Linked DNA regions of Arabidopsis thaliana. The protein of the gene in region 2 interacts with the protein of the main gene of each other region in a pairwise test. Each region holds a gene or a part of one and is shown on either strand. Other genes may lie near its edges.

Evidence for each region. The genes of interacting proteins can lie anywhere in the genome.
Region 1: the proteins of NAC050 (region 2) and AT1G23810 interact in a two-hybrid assay, tested with the Arabidopsis thaliana proteins (one large-scale study listed by BioGRID).
Region 3: the proteins of NAC050 (region 2) and FAR1 interact in a two-hybrid assay, tested with the Arabidopsis thaliana proteins (one large-scale study listed by BioGRID).

Annotation. Positions count from the first base shown.
Region 1 is NC_003070.9:8,415,651-8,419,098, reverse strand, and holds AT1G23810 (Paired amphipathic helix (PAH2) superfamily protein), read right to left. Parts: upstream 1,605-3,448; coding exon 1,462-1,604; intron 1,380-1,461; coding exon 1,098-1,379; intron 997-1,097; coding exon 879-996; intron 799-878; coding exon 697-798; intron 614-696; coding exon 533-613; downstream 1-532.
Region 2 is NC_003074.8:3,262,733-3,267,624, forward strand, and holds NAC050 (NAC domain containing protein 50), read left to right. Parts: upstream 1-1,615; 5' UTR 1,616-1,677; coding exon 1,678-1,897; intron 1,898-2,087; coding exon 2,088-2,117; intron 2,118-2,198; coding exon 2,199-2,267; intron 2,268-2,371; coding exon 2,372-2,649; intron 2,650-2,740; coding exon 2,741-2,926; intron 2,927-3,069; coding exon 3,070-3,161; intron 3,162-3,272; coding exon 3,273-3,318; intron 3,319-3,389; coding exon 3,390-4,049; 3' UTR 4,050-4,358; downstream 4,359-4,892. UniProt on the Arabidopsis thaliana protein: Transcriptional repressor that binds to the motif 5'-(C/T)A(C/A)G-3' in the promoter of target genes. Also binds to the 5'-CTTGNNNNNCAAG-3' consensus sequence in chromatin.
Region 3 is NC_003075.7:8,612,466-8,618,702, reverse strand, and holds FAR1 (FRS (FAR1 Related Sequences) transcription factor family), read right to left. Parts: upstream 4,644-6,237; 5' UTR 4,430-4,643; exon of another isoform or gene 4,011-4,429; 5' UTR 3,898-4,010; coding exon 1,774-3,897; intron 1,678-1,773; coding exon 1,624-1,677; intron 1,504-1,623; coding exon 1,435-1,503; intron 1,341-1,434; coding exon 1,278-1,340; intron 1,186-1,277; coding exon 1,114-1,185; intron 1,026-1,113; coding exon 978-1,025; intron 887-977; coding exon 833-886; 3' UTR 533-832; downstream 1-532. Other genes in the region: catalytic LigB subunit of aromatic ring-opening dioxygenase family, read right to left, coding at 13-249. UniProt on the Arabidopsis thaliana protein: Transcription activator that recognizes and binds to the DNA consensus sequence 5'-CACGCGC-3'. Activates the expression of FHY1 and FHL involved in light responses. Positive regulator of chlorophyll biosynthesis via the activation of HEMB1 gene expression.

The DNA of each region.
Region 1 (3,448 bases), on a different chromosome or scaffold from region 2:
ACATATTTAAATTAGAGATATAAATATTGAATTTAATTTTTTTCTATAAAATCTTATTATCAATTTCGTAATTCATATAAGGTTTACTTAAATTAGAAAATATATTTGTTATTAGAATTACTTGACTTTGTTTGTTTTGCTCTGTATTTTTTGGCCAGGCGTAAGTTTGGGCTCTCTTCCTCTCTGTTTTTGTTTCTAGCTGAACTCTGTTTTTTTAGTGTTTCCCCTCTCAGTTTCTTATGCAAACACGACCCAAAAAATATCTACACGGCCCAAATCTCATGTCTTCTTGGTAACGAGGAAATATTTATTTAGTGAAAAAACATTTGATATCAAAGAAACCTCAACAAAAGAAACTATACACTCTCTTTTAGTCTCTTATACGCCAATTCATTGTACAATATACCTCAACATAGAAGCATAGCATATTTGTGAATGTCATGTTAATCAAACCAAACTCAAATGTTTGCAAAAGAAAACTAAAATCACTCTCTTTTCGTTAGAAGCCTTCCAGTACCGTCCTTAGTCATCTCTAGACTCTAGTAGATGGATCAGTGAAAATTTGTGAAAGCTCCATGACTAAATCGTCATGACCCTGAACAAGTGCAACGATCTGCAAAAGATAACAAAGCAAATGAAACCAAAGAACTAAGAAAGTGCAACACACAACACAAAGTATCCTACCAAGAAGCCTACCTCCTGATACGCATCATGTTTGGACTTGTTTCCCTCACCGTACATTCTCATTATCTGAAGAACTGAGTCAACTACTTGACTACCATCGCCCTGAAACTTTGCCTGCATATGGACAATTTTGTTACTTAAACCGCAAGTGAACATATAGGAAATATCAAATGGTACCTATAAGCACTCTATACCTTAAGCTTCGTGGTAAAACTCGTTGTAGCTGAAAGGAAGACACAGAAACCAAAAAGCAGATTCGAGTGATCTTTCATGAGTTCCTCCACCCTAGCAATGACACTAGCGGCATTGACTCTACAAAGAGACTTAGTAACATCAGAATCAATTTACATAATGTATTTGTTCTGTAGACTGAGAAAATCAAACATAACATGGAGAAAAGAACTAATACATACCTGCGAGCTTTAAAATCATTCAAGAGCTTAAGCATTTCCTCATATTTTGCAGGTTCATCATGAAATGCTTCCTTCACAGCAATGAGGTATGAAGTCGCATCATCTATGGTAGGCTCCGGACGTGGTACGCTTCTTCCAACCACCTTATGAAACTCTTCGCTAGCCTCGGGAGGGATGGCTCTCTGATACTCAGGTGCAAGCATGACATTTAAACCAAGACACAGACTCGGGTGATCTTTCAAGAGGTCCTGCATGCGTGCACTGAAAGTAGCCATACCCATCCTACAAAGATAAAAATAACATTAGAATCAATTCTCACATGTGTCTTTGTTCTTTAGACTGTTTAAGAGCAAACCAAACACACCTTCGCGCTATCACCTCATGAAAGAGTCTTAGAAACTCTTGATATTTTGCAGGTTCCGCTTCCTCCAATGCGACCTTCACAGCATTGACGTATGCCTTTCCATCTTCCAAAGATGACGCCGGTGATTTACTTCCTCCAGCCATGGTGTGAAATTGACCTAATCCATTGTTCAAAGATAAAGATTTGTGTTCATCAAAACAGATCAGATTGGTCATTGAAGCCTTTCTTGTATCTCAAGAAACTTAATCCATAACAACAACAAGATCAGTTCGTCGATATGGATGATTCATGCAAAGTTCATCTTCTAGAATACAGATTCATGTAAATTTCATCGAACAAGATCCTTAAGAACATCTAGAATCAGTCTCGATTGAAAGAAAACAACAAGACTTGCTGATTAAAGAAACTAGAAAAGAATCATATACGAAATTCGATCGTTAACCCAATCGTCACGTCACATGATTTCACATTTCAGATGAACGAAAAAGGAATTGAAACGAAGAAGAAGAAGAAGATAACTACCTAACAAGCAAGCTTCGTCTTCGCAAGTGAGAGGCTTCAAGATTCCCAGAAACAAACGCACTCTGTTTTGAGCTCTTCGGTTTTTTTTTCCAGCAAAACCTCAGAGACTGATTCGAGTATTATTCACGAGTCTTAGTCTATATTTATAGTAGGAATATACCATATTTGACTTCATTTTATTTTGCGGAAAAAAAAAGACTTCATTTTATTATTGTCAACTTTTGTTTGCATTGATCAGATAATTAGCATAAGCTTATAAAACTAGAACTGGTAACATCTGTGAAACTGAAATTTTAAAAACTTTCTATATATCAAAGACGATGAGAATTTTTTATATATAATTGGAATACAGATATTTCTATTTATTTTAGTCCAAACTCCAAACATATATAAATCAATAGCTAGTCTTCCACCAGTGCACGCCCTATACCGTCATTAGGGAATTGGATCGCAAGGTTTGGCCCACTAATAATAGTAGCCCATTTCAGGACCTATTTTTCGCAAAAAACAACATAATGCAGCATGTACATTTTTTTTTTAGCATATACTTTTTTTTTTACATTTGGTTTGATTATTTTTCAATTGACATATACCTTCCTTTTTTTTTAGCAAAAAATACATTACTTTGTAGAGACGATATTTGTTTATGTTAACTATATTTTTTCCCTATCAAAGTGTAGTGTTTATGAGGTATTTTGGATCATCCTAGTAATCTAGCTAGCTACTTCTATAATATACGAAGTACCGAACATTTGATAATGATGTTTCAATTTCATACGTTTGTTCCTAGTTCGTGTTAATAATTTCGAACGGACGGTCTATTACTGTATATATAGTCGAATCTTATACGAAAACATTATGGAGAAAAAAAAGTCATGACACAATAATCCCTTCTTTTTATCTATCTATTAAAAGAAAAGTTGGTAGAGATAAACAAGTAAATGCTAAAATGAATTTTCTATAAAGAAACAAAAAGAAATACGTTTACGTATCGATAATGTCTATGCACTATGAAAATATATATATTTGGTTATGCATGAAAAGATGTTTGGAAATCCCAAATTTTTTTAAAGGTTTTTCGTACTTCTAACTATGAAAACGTGATAATCAATGTGCATTAGCATTTTTTTAACGCTCATATAAGTTTCCATAGCTAACTAAACCAGTTTCTGTCAGTTTTGTATAAATTTGTCGTCATTTGTTTTTTTAAAAAAGCTTTGTGTCAACAAAAAAAAAAGCTATAAAAAACCAACACTTTTTAACACAGAACAATTACATAGTATATAAATCTTGAAAAACTTGAAACTACCTAGTAATAAGGAGATTATGGCTAAAATATAGCCTTGTCCATCGAATTGTTCTGTTTTTGTAAGGTTGGATCCAAAGTCCAAACTGAGTTATACGTATTGTAACTGTGTAACATTGTCATCAAGATCATATCTTAGTGATAACAAGAAATATTATT
Region 2 (4,892 bases):
GTTTTCTTTTACTCTTACTTTCTTTATTAGTTTCATAATAATATGTGTAAAAGTAAGAGTTGGATATTTTTCGTTTTAATTTCTGCCTTCGAATTAGTTACGCATACAAAGCATAAGAGACAAGAGACATAGCGTACCAAAAAAGAAGAAAATAGTGCAAAAATATCATATAGTTTTCTGGTACGCCTCATCAATTCCACCCCCGTACACCATAATTATATAGAATTTCAATATCGAAATGTCGACAGCAACAAAATTCAACATGTCGAATAATATTGTTTTAAATATTCCATTTTACTAGAAGATGAAAAAAAGAGAGAAGAAAGTAACCTTTTGTCTTTGTCACCTTGACTTAAACAGTAATACAAACCCCACAAGTAAATTATTCAAGTTCAAATCGTAGTTAATGTTTATATTTGAGAATTGCAAATGGTTTAAACGAAAACCAAACTACGAATTACAAATTTGAAGAGGACTTGTACTAGAAAATAAATAGAGAAAAGAAGAATAATAAATAGTAACAGAAAATGGGAAAGATGATGATTCGTGTGGACCAAGTCTCTCCTCCCCTTTAGCTTGCCTTATTGGTAAAGTATCCTCCTGCAAGCAAACGTATCTGTCACTCCTTTTTTATTTTCTTTCACCTTCTATCTTATTCTCATTAATTCTTCTTTTTTGGTCAACTTCATGTATAGAAAATAATACCAAAATTTTTTGATATAGTAAAACTATTAGAACTGAATTTCAAACAAAAATAATACAAATTTAAGCAAAAAAATATTAAAAATAAATTTTAAAGAATATTTTTACATATAATAAATATACATAGTTGATACTTTTATATAATTATTAATTTATGATATTAATGAGACCATATATTTACATAGAACATTCAAAATAATTATTATCTTATTAATCTATCGATATATATCACTTTTTATACTAGTTTTTGGAATCTTAATAATTTATTAATTTGTAGAAGTTATTAATTTATAGAGGTTTTACTGTACATGTCAGCATTTAACTTTTGATAAGCACAAAACCATTACATATTTTCCAACCAGATTATTTTCTATTTATCCTAGCGTTTGTAAATCTTTGAACTACAATAATTTATCAAATACAATATAAGATTTTTATACTAAAGATGTATACAATGCATTTAACATTAAAGGAAACAAATAAACTCTAATCTTTTAAAAAAATACTTTACCTTTTAAAAAGAGTTATTAATCACATAAGCAATATTTAATTTTTCATTATTTTTTTCATCATCTGTCTAACATATTACTTTTTAAAAAATATTTATCGTTGGATACTTACTTTTCAGACCACACACTAGGACTAGTGGTTCCTTTATTTTACTGCATAGAACGACAACAAAAAGCTAAGCAGTAACATTTTTTAGGGTTTTATTACTGCAACACTCAAAAATGAGAAATTATTATTAAAATTGAAAATGAAAAATAGTAATCGCAATCCGAAATTACTTTTTTTCTAGCCTTCTAGGAACTCGAAAAGAAAGCAAATTTCTTGCAATTGAAGGTACCTGCTTCTCTTTTTCTGGTTTGTCTGGTTTCATATTAAAAAAAACATTTTGACAACTATATTTCTGGTTTGTCTGAAAAAATTGAGAAGAAAACCTAGAAACAAATACGGTCTTTTTTTTTTCTTTTTATGGGTCGCGAATCTCTGGCTGTTGTGTCCTCGCCGCCATCGGCGACTGCGCCCAGTACTGCTGTGTCGGCTACCTCGCTTGCTCCTGGCTTTCGATTTCATCCGACTGATGAGGAACTCGTGAGCTATTACTTGAAGAGGAAGGTTCTGGGTAAACCTGTACGCTTCGATGCGATTGGAGAGGTAGATATCTACAAGCATGAGCCCTGGGATTTAGCAGGTTCGTTAGGTTTCTTCTTCTTCATTTCTGCTTATCTCTATGATTTGGGGGTTTCTGTGAATTTGATGCTTCTGATTTGGGATTTTTGTCGCCTGGGCTTATTGGTTGTTCCGTCTTCTGGCTCAATTCTGGGAAATGAGTTTAGCTTTTACGTGCTCCGATTCGTTTTCTGGGAAATTTTTTGTTGCAGAGAAGATTCTCTGTTCGTACCTGGCGCTAAGTTTAGGCAATTAGGCTTTAACACTGTGAAGACATTCCATCCAATTGACTTCTTAACTGAAGAAAGTCGAATTTTCTTCAGATTGCTTTAAGAATTTCGTGTTTGCTTGTGCTACAGTTATGTTTGCTTGTGCTACAGTTATGTTTGCTTGTGGATCAGGAAATGAAGTTTGTTGCTTGTGTGTTTGGCTATCTGAAGTGTTCTCAAGTATGATCTGAAAGAAAAAAAACCTTGTGATGTGTTGTGTGTTTCAGTGTTTTCGAAGTTGAAAACTCGGGACCAAGAATGGTACTTCTTCAGTGCGTTAGATAAGAAGTACGGTAATGGTGCTAGGATGAATCGAGCAACTAACAAAGGGTACTGGAAAGCAACTGGAAAAGACAGAGAAATCCGCCGGGATATTCAGTTGCTCGGTATGAAAAAGACGCTTGTTTTCCACAGCGGGCGTGCTCCAGACGGCCTTCGGACTAATTGGGTCATGCACGAGTATCGCCTTGTGGAATATGAAACTGAAACTAACGGAAGCCTGCTGGTATTATGTTGTCCAAAAGAGTTACTTTTGAATTGGGGTTATCTCATTTTGTAAGAATCCTATCTTATCTTACTTCTTTGTCTGGGTGCAGCAGGATGCATATGTGTTGTGCAGAGTGTTTCACAAGAATAACATTGGGCCACCAAGTGGGAACAGATATGCGCCATTCATGGAAGAAGAATGGGCTGATGGTGGAGGAGCTCTGATTCCAGGAATAGACGTTAGGGTCAGGGTAGAGGCTCTACCACAAGCCAATGGAAACAACCAGATGGACCAGGTTTGTACTTTCTTTATACTCAAATGTTTCTTATATGCATAACCTCTGTGATACATCCCTCTAATGTGAATCATCTCTCTTGATTCACAAGATATTATATTTCTTATTGCAAAAGCTCTTTGCTTCTCTAAGTGCTGTTTCAGTGGGCTGATTTACTTAAACTGCACAATTCCATTAAGTTTGCTATCACCTTTTGTAGAACTCAGCTCAACCTTACAGCTTTATCTAATGAAAGGTCTCTCTTGATTCACAAGATATCTAATTTTTCTTTATGGTCCTTTTTCTTTGAGATTTATCCTTTGATTACATGATATTTCAGACTTACAATCTTCGTTTGGCATTAAAGGTGCTCAACAAGAGAAATATTTATTGTGTTTTGGTTAATCTGCAAAGTCGATCAACGCGTTTTGGTTTGAGATATTTTATGTCTGTTGGGGTTCACATAACTTGTAATTTGTTGTAGGAAATGCATTCAGCAAGCAAGGATCTCATTAACATCAACGAGCTACCGAGAGATGCTACTCCAATGGACATCGAACCTAACCAACAGAATCATCATGAGAGTGCCTTCAAGCCACAGGAGAGTAACAACCATAGTGGTTATGAAGAAGATGAGGACACACTCAAACGCGAGCACGCAGAAGAAGATGAGCGTCCTCCTTCTCTATGCATTCTCAACAAAGAAGCTCCACTACCTCTCCTGCAATACAAACGTAGACGCCAAAACGAGTCCAACAACAACTCAAGCAGGAACACACAGGACCATTGTTCGTCCACAATAACAACCGTCGACAATACAACCACCTTAATCTCATCATCTGCTGCTGCTGCTACCAACACTGCCATCTCTGCATTGCTTGAGTTCTCACTTATGGGTATCTCCGACAAGAAAGAAAACCAGCAGAAAGAGGAAACTTCTCCTCCTAGTCCAATTGCATCTCCTGAAGAGAAGGTTAATGATCTCCAGAAGGAGGTTCACCAGATGTCTGTTGAAAGAGAAACTTTCAAGCTTGAGATGATGAGTGCAGAGGCTATGATCAGCATTCTCCAGTCAAGAATCGATGCGCTGCGTCAGGAGAACGAGGAACTTAAGAAGAAGAACGCCAGTGGACAAGCTAGTTAAACCACCGCAACATCTCTCCAGGTGTCTTCTTCTTCTTCTTCTTCTTCTTTGCCTCTTAGCTGTAATCTTCTTAATAGTATGAGCTATGGATGTAGCTTCTTCAGACGGATCAGAAACCTTATGAATCTCTGTTGTAAAATTAGGATAAAACGGAACGGAGCCAACCAACTAGGTCTTTTTATTTTATCCTTTTTTACTTTGGATGTTTCTGCATCTTTTGGGAACATTTTCAGGCTGATCCATTGTCGTATATTATCATCTATCTATCTAGTCTTTTCAGACAAGAACTCGCTTTTGTTTGGTTTCCTCTCAAGAAATGTTCAGTCTCCATAAAGAAAGCTTTTTCCTTGGGGTAATCATTAGTGGTCAGATATGAGGGCATAATCGTCATTGTCATTTGAAATGACCTTCTGGTCTTCCGGACAAGAACCACTCTGTTGCTTGATGTTTCTGTGTGACTGTCTCCACAGTCCACAGGGAAGAGAGCTTCTTAGGTAAAGTCGTGATTAGTGGAAATGATTGAGGGTATAATCGTCATTGACTAATTCAGCGTTACGATTTAGGAATGTGGTTCCGTCAACGACGTTAGAAGACTTTTGTTACACGTAATTTGCAATTATTTGTTTTTTCTCTAAAAGCGAAAAGCGCTTGGTACGATTCAAGCCTGGATTCCATCTCTCTCCCATTAAGTTTTCAAGAAGAAGTTTTGATCACAGACGTATTTTCGAAATGGTTTCATATCTTACTAGGCAATGGAATTTCGTAGGTGTTATAGAGTTTGGTGTTTATATTTTACTTTTAACTACATCGTCCTATTATACGGAACCTGTCTTTTTTTTTTCC
Region 3 (6,237 bases), on a different chromosome or scaffold from region 2:
TTTTGGTTTTACCTTGTACATAGGATCAGGGAAGCCAGAGAAATCGTGGATCGTGTTATTGCGAAGAACAGTGTTGACAGATGGGAATTTGGTGTCCCAATGAGCAGAGATGACTAAAATCGATTTGGGTTTTTGAGGAAGAACTTTTTGAGTCCATGATTTGAAGAATTGTCTCGCTTCCAAGGAATCATCTATGCTCAAAGTTGGAGATCCATGAGATAAGAAGAAGGTTTGATTCACTTTCTCCATTGAAAATTGAAATCTCTCGAGATCTTTGCCTCTCTTTTTTTTTTTTTGCAAATGTTTCTTTTGACCAACTCTATTAGTTTTGGTTCTTCCCCAGTTTTGATGTTGTCTGAATAAAGAAACCTTTTCTGTTTGTTTGTTTTGTCAAAAGGGACACACCTACATACGACAACGACCAGGGAATGTGTATTTAACCAAATTAACCACATTTAATCTAAAAATAACTTTTTGTTTCTACTAAATAAGTTGAAACCTGTTTTAACAATTTTGATTTAATGTGATCTCAAAATTACTTGTTTGACTAATACACAGAGGATAGATTTCTATGTGTTTAGATAAAGATGTTGTTACAAGTGCATCTATTAAATCTCAAGACATTCAATCAGATAACACAATATTTCATCCCACATTAATACATCATAAGGCAATCCCATAATATACAGAAACCAATTTAAGAAAAGATTACATCTTGTCATTGCAACTCAGCTCCATGAAAGATCTTGTGTTTTTCTCATGTTTGGAACAGCTTCTTGCAAATGTTTCCTGAGACAAAACTTCTCTCCAAAGTAATCAAAACGTGTTGCTACTATAGCTGCCTTGATGAACTACCAGGTAATTGGGCAGAACTCAAATGCTCTTCCTGGAATAACGAAAAGATTTAACGATATCAACACGTGTGGTTCGAGTACAAAATGATACTAAAGTAAAGACTTTATCCAGGCAGCTGAGACCTGTAAAGTGTAAGTGAAATTGGGAGGAGGTCTGAAATCGATTTGACCCTGGACCGGACAATAAACAAAAGATGTTAACAACACGATCATTCATAACACAGTTTTTAAAATCAGTTTGAAGGATTTTATAATGTACCACCATCCCAGACATGGCTTGCTGATTCGTGAAGAAGCTATCCTGCGCCGGTGCTATCGAATTCAGTTGTCCCTGAAGAGTCAAAAGAACCAAAATTCATGTCGTTGACTTATACTCTAGCACAGATTTGGGAGATTCAAGCATTTAAACTATATGTAACCTACCAGGCCTTGGATGGTTCGTTGATCTACATAGTAGCCTTCATGAGGTGGCTCCATTAAATTTAACTATATCCACAGTTTAAACAGGTTTAGTATTAGGGTTTATAATAGATGTCGAATGGCTTAACCAGGTTTGTATTAATCAACTAACATAGCATACCAGTCCTTGAACGTTCTGTTGAGGACCATAGTAACCATTCATGTCCATCGCCTCTGAACTTATAGTTTCCTGCACAAAATGTTAAAACTATAAGGCCATATATCCAAGACATCCTACTCTTAATCTCATAAAGCAATGTGCAGTTACAATGATCAAACTAATTAGAGAAGATCAAATCAAAGCACAAACCATTGGTTGCAAGCTCTGTTGAGATTCAAGCATTTGGCTAGCCTCTTGTTGTCCCTGCATAAGATCAATTTGAGTATCTTCTTTTTAACCTTTGAAGCTAAGAAAATGTACGTAGGTTTAGATTGGCGAGAAGCTTCAGTAAAAGCATACCTTTCTTTTCCTATATACAGTCTTCTTTTTTGTTGCTTTTACCCCAGCCATTACCTGGTTTTCTTCTTCGTGAGTACCATTATTAAGCTGGCTATTAGACTCAGTGATGTTGTTTCTAGCATTATTCATATCAACACAATTTTTCAGGGTCTCGACTAGTGTGCGCAATGCGATGTTGTAGTTTTCTTCTGACACACAACCTTCCTCACTCAATTCAGTGGCTCGACTACACAAATCGTTATAGCGCTGAACTCGGGTCTGTATCTGGTCTGCTCCTTCACCAGCTAATACTCCACTCTTAGCATCTTTTGTCCACCTTTTCAATATATACTGAGGCGGGATGCTGGCGAAACCACACATCTGCAGAATCATCAAAGCATGCCGACAAAGAAACCCTTTGTATTCAAACATACGACAGAAGCAGCAAAGTTCTGACTTAGTTTTGCTCCACGTTACAAGAAAGTCATCGTCTTTTTCACAGTCTTGAACTCTAAACGTCGCCATATTTTCATCTTCTTTTTCCTTTCTAGGATGGCAAGCGACAACCCCCAAGACCTCGACTTGAAATTTCTTAAATATTGTGTGGGTGTAAGTTGTTGCCATTTGCTTCTCCCAGGGCGAGGGGGACTTCAATGCAGGTTGCTTGTGGCAAGTATCGAAATCTGCAACAGATTCCTCTTCGTACCTATTCTGCAGAATCACACCGTATTGCCTCAAGAACTCTTTCAGCGTGATTTTCTTATGGATGTACTTATCGAAGAAAGAGTTCACACTTTCTGAACGTTGAGATGTCGACATGCCTGCCAGAAACACATCGCTCATAAATGTGGGCACCCACTTTTGGCGATGTTCATGCAACCATAGCAGCCATTCATCATTCTCAAGTCCAAACTGGCTGACCATTTTCCACCACCTCATATCAAACTCATCATCTGTCCAAGATCTGAAAATGCATTTGTTGAATTTCAGTAAGAAATTCTCGTGCCGTTTCATCACATGTGAGAAATATTCAGGAATCTTTTCTAAAACATGCCATAACGCAAAGCAATGACGAGTGTTTGGTAGGAGCTCTGAAACAGCAGACATCAAGAATTTATCTTGGTCAGTGAGTATAACTTTAGGAGCTCGACCACCCATTGCTCGTAGCCATGTTTTTATCAGCCACACAAAAGTCTCCATAGACTCATCAGCAACCAATGCACAGCCTAGTAACATAGGTTGGGAGTGATGGTTCACCCCAATAAATAAAGCTAGTGGCAACTTATCGTTAAACTTGACATAAGTAGTATCAAAGGATACAACATCATTGAAACTCAAATAGTCATCTCTGCTCTTGGCATCAGCCCAAAACAGATTTCTTAAACGTTGGTCCTCGTTCAGGTCTATAGCATAAAAGAATTTAGGGTTTTCTTTCTTGATACGCTTGAAGTACTCAAGCAGTACTTGAGAATCTCCTTCTTCCAAAGCTAGATACCTACCCTTATCAACCTGACTGCTGACATCGGTCTGAAGAAGAGACCCGATATTCTTATATCCGCCAGATTGTCTCGACATTTCAACATACATTTTTTTGGTCCGTTCACTAACCGCATGCAGAATGTCGATATTATTCTTCTCAGCTAACTTGACATTCCTCTGAATCCGGAAATGATAAGCAAGGGCAGGTAAAAGTTCGTGATTGTGATCCTTTACAAACTCATGAATGATCCATTTCCCATCTGGTCTTCTCTTCACATGCATACTAGCCTTGCAATCTGTTTTTTTCACAGTTGACCTTCGACTACTACTACCACTACTCTCAGACTCAGGAGTCACACCATATCTGGAACAAGCAAACTTAGCATCAATGAAGTCTTTAGTTTTCTTGGAACGTCTACTGTTTTTAATCGACGTAGTAAAACCCATAGATTTTGCATATTCCTGATAAAAGATATACGCTGCCTCATGGGTATCAAAGTCTATACCATTTCGTGGCTCAAGATCCAGATCACCACTAAATCCAACATCTCCACCTATATTGAACTCATCAACAATTCCTATATCTCTGTTACTATGCGGTTCAACTACAATGTCAACCATATGGTCATCCCCTGCATCACTAACCAGATTCTCTTGCAAATCCATCCTAACCTTAGCCACATATGGATTCACTAACACACTCAAAAGCAACTACCCCACTATGGGCTTCCATGAAATTGGAAACTGAAATCTTTCTACTAGATAATCCACCTTAGCACCTGAAAAATGTCACAACCAAACTTCATAAGAACCAGCGCGACATCTTCTACCTAAAAACATCAAACTTGAAACACACAAAGCAATATGAAATCAATGGAATCAAATGAAAGTGAAGAACTTTCAACAACATAACTTCTAATAGTAGAAAAGTTCTGTTTCTAAAGCCAAAAAAGAGTAAAATTTCACACAAATAAGAGAAGGAGACCTGAGAACTCAAACTAAGAGAGTCAGAGACAACATACTTCTAGTAGTAGAAAAGTTCTGGTTCTAAAATTTCAGTGAAAGAACTGAACTTTCATTAGTATCAGCATAAAAGACAGAGACTTTAATGTATCTTAAGAGAAAACCTGAGAATTCAAATGAAGAGACTACAAAATTCAGGAAATGTCAAACTTTTGGATTGGTGAGGGCTTTTTACTGTATTTTCTCGGCCACCCAGAGAGAGACAAAGGGAGGGAAGGCAAAATTCTGACGTGAAAAGAGCAAAGCAAAGAAGAACACGAAGCAGGCGAGTGGGGAAGCAAAAGCGAGTGAGGAACCAAGGAGCGTGAGAGGAGAAAATCTAGGGTTCTTTTTGGGAATTTTTAGGGATCTTGGATTATGTTTTTATTTTTATTTTTTTCATTTGTTGTAAATCTCTTACTAGCCTTTACTAATTAAACATAAAGGCTTTTTGATTGGTAACACGTGTAATGACATAATGACGTTTGTTTTCGACGCGATTTTTTTTCATAATCGCGTCTATATTTACGTTTGGCGTGTGAGAAGCATTGCTGATTTATGTATTCTTAGAAAAATTGATTATTTTAAAAGCATCAGCATTGTGATTTTTTACCAAAATCTCTCGCCTACATTAATAATAATAAAATAATAAACAATATTTTTTTAATTAAAACAATTTCTAAGAAAATATGAGAAAGTTTTTAATTTAAAAGATTTGAAAAAACTATTTTAAAAAACTCTTCAAATTAAATATTTTTTTTATTATTATTACTTTAGTAAATTAAAAACTTTGGTTAGAAACCACCACTACACATGTTCTAAAAGATTTTAATTTTAACTGTATGATAATCTTCTTTTCATACAGTTTACTATAATTTTTCCACATTTTTCAAAAGAGTTATGTAGTAAACTAAATTTATCATAACTTTTAATATGATTTTTACATCTATTTTTATGATTTTTACATAACTATTAATATCTACAGTTTTTTTTTTATTATAAGTTCAAATAAAACAAAAAATACAAGAATATTAAAATAAATAACATTAAATCTATTTTTGTACATATGAGATACATGCTTATTCTTATTATGACAAATCAAGTATACTTTTTTTTTTAATCTTTACCGTCATTTTTTCTATATATATGTGGGTATCTCATATTCTATATGTAATATGCTAATCAATTACATGATGTTGATGGCTTTCACATCAAAACAGAGCTGACATTTGCCACCAAATATAAATAAAACTGTAGGGCAAATTGTACGAGAGTTGTGCTCTGAGTCACTTGCTTTTAGATTTAGTTATGGAGTTACAAATGCAGGGTTTGCATCTTATCTTTTAATATTTTTTTTCTTTTCTACTCACATATCTTTTTTTTTATGTGGAGTGGAAGATAATTGTTTTTAATTCATTTAATATTTTTTGATTTAATTCCTTTTTAAACAGCAAAATCTTTTAATATTTGATTTAATTTGGCTAAATTCTTCTAAAAATCTGAAATTTAGACATTAAATAACTTTCTAATATATATATATTTAAGTATTACTGAGAACTTTTTAATATTATATAAAAATTATATTATTTAATTAATACTTTAAGCTACCATATTATCATTAATAATGGTTATATAATTTAAAAATAATTAAAATTTGCTACGGAAAAAAAGAAAATATCAAAGAGGTGAAATAGACACGTAAGCTAAAAATCCAGCGTTGGTACTAATAGTAACCAGTAACCACTTTCATTTGTCCGTCTCGCTCTTTTAGCCTGTCAACGCTTTTCTATTTTGTCTTTTTTCTTTCTTCTAAAAATTCTCTCTTTTATTCCTTCTTCCATTTCTCTCTCTCTTCTTCCTTCTCCAGTTACTTTGGTCTCCGCCATGGCTACACAGTAAGCTTTTTCTTCGCTATTCGACTCTAAATTTGCTAACTTTGAATTCGCTTAGGTCATCTCTAATTTCACATTCGTTATTTTTCTTTTATTTTCAATTTAATATATT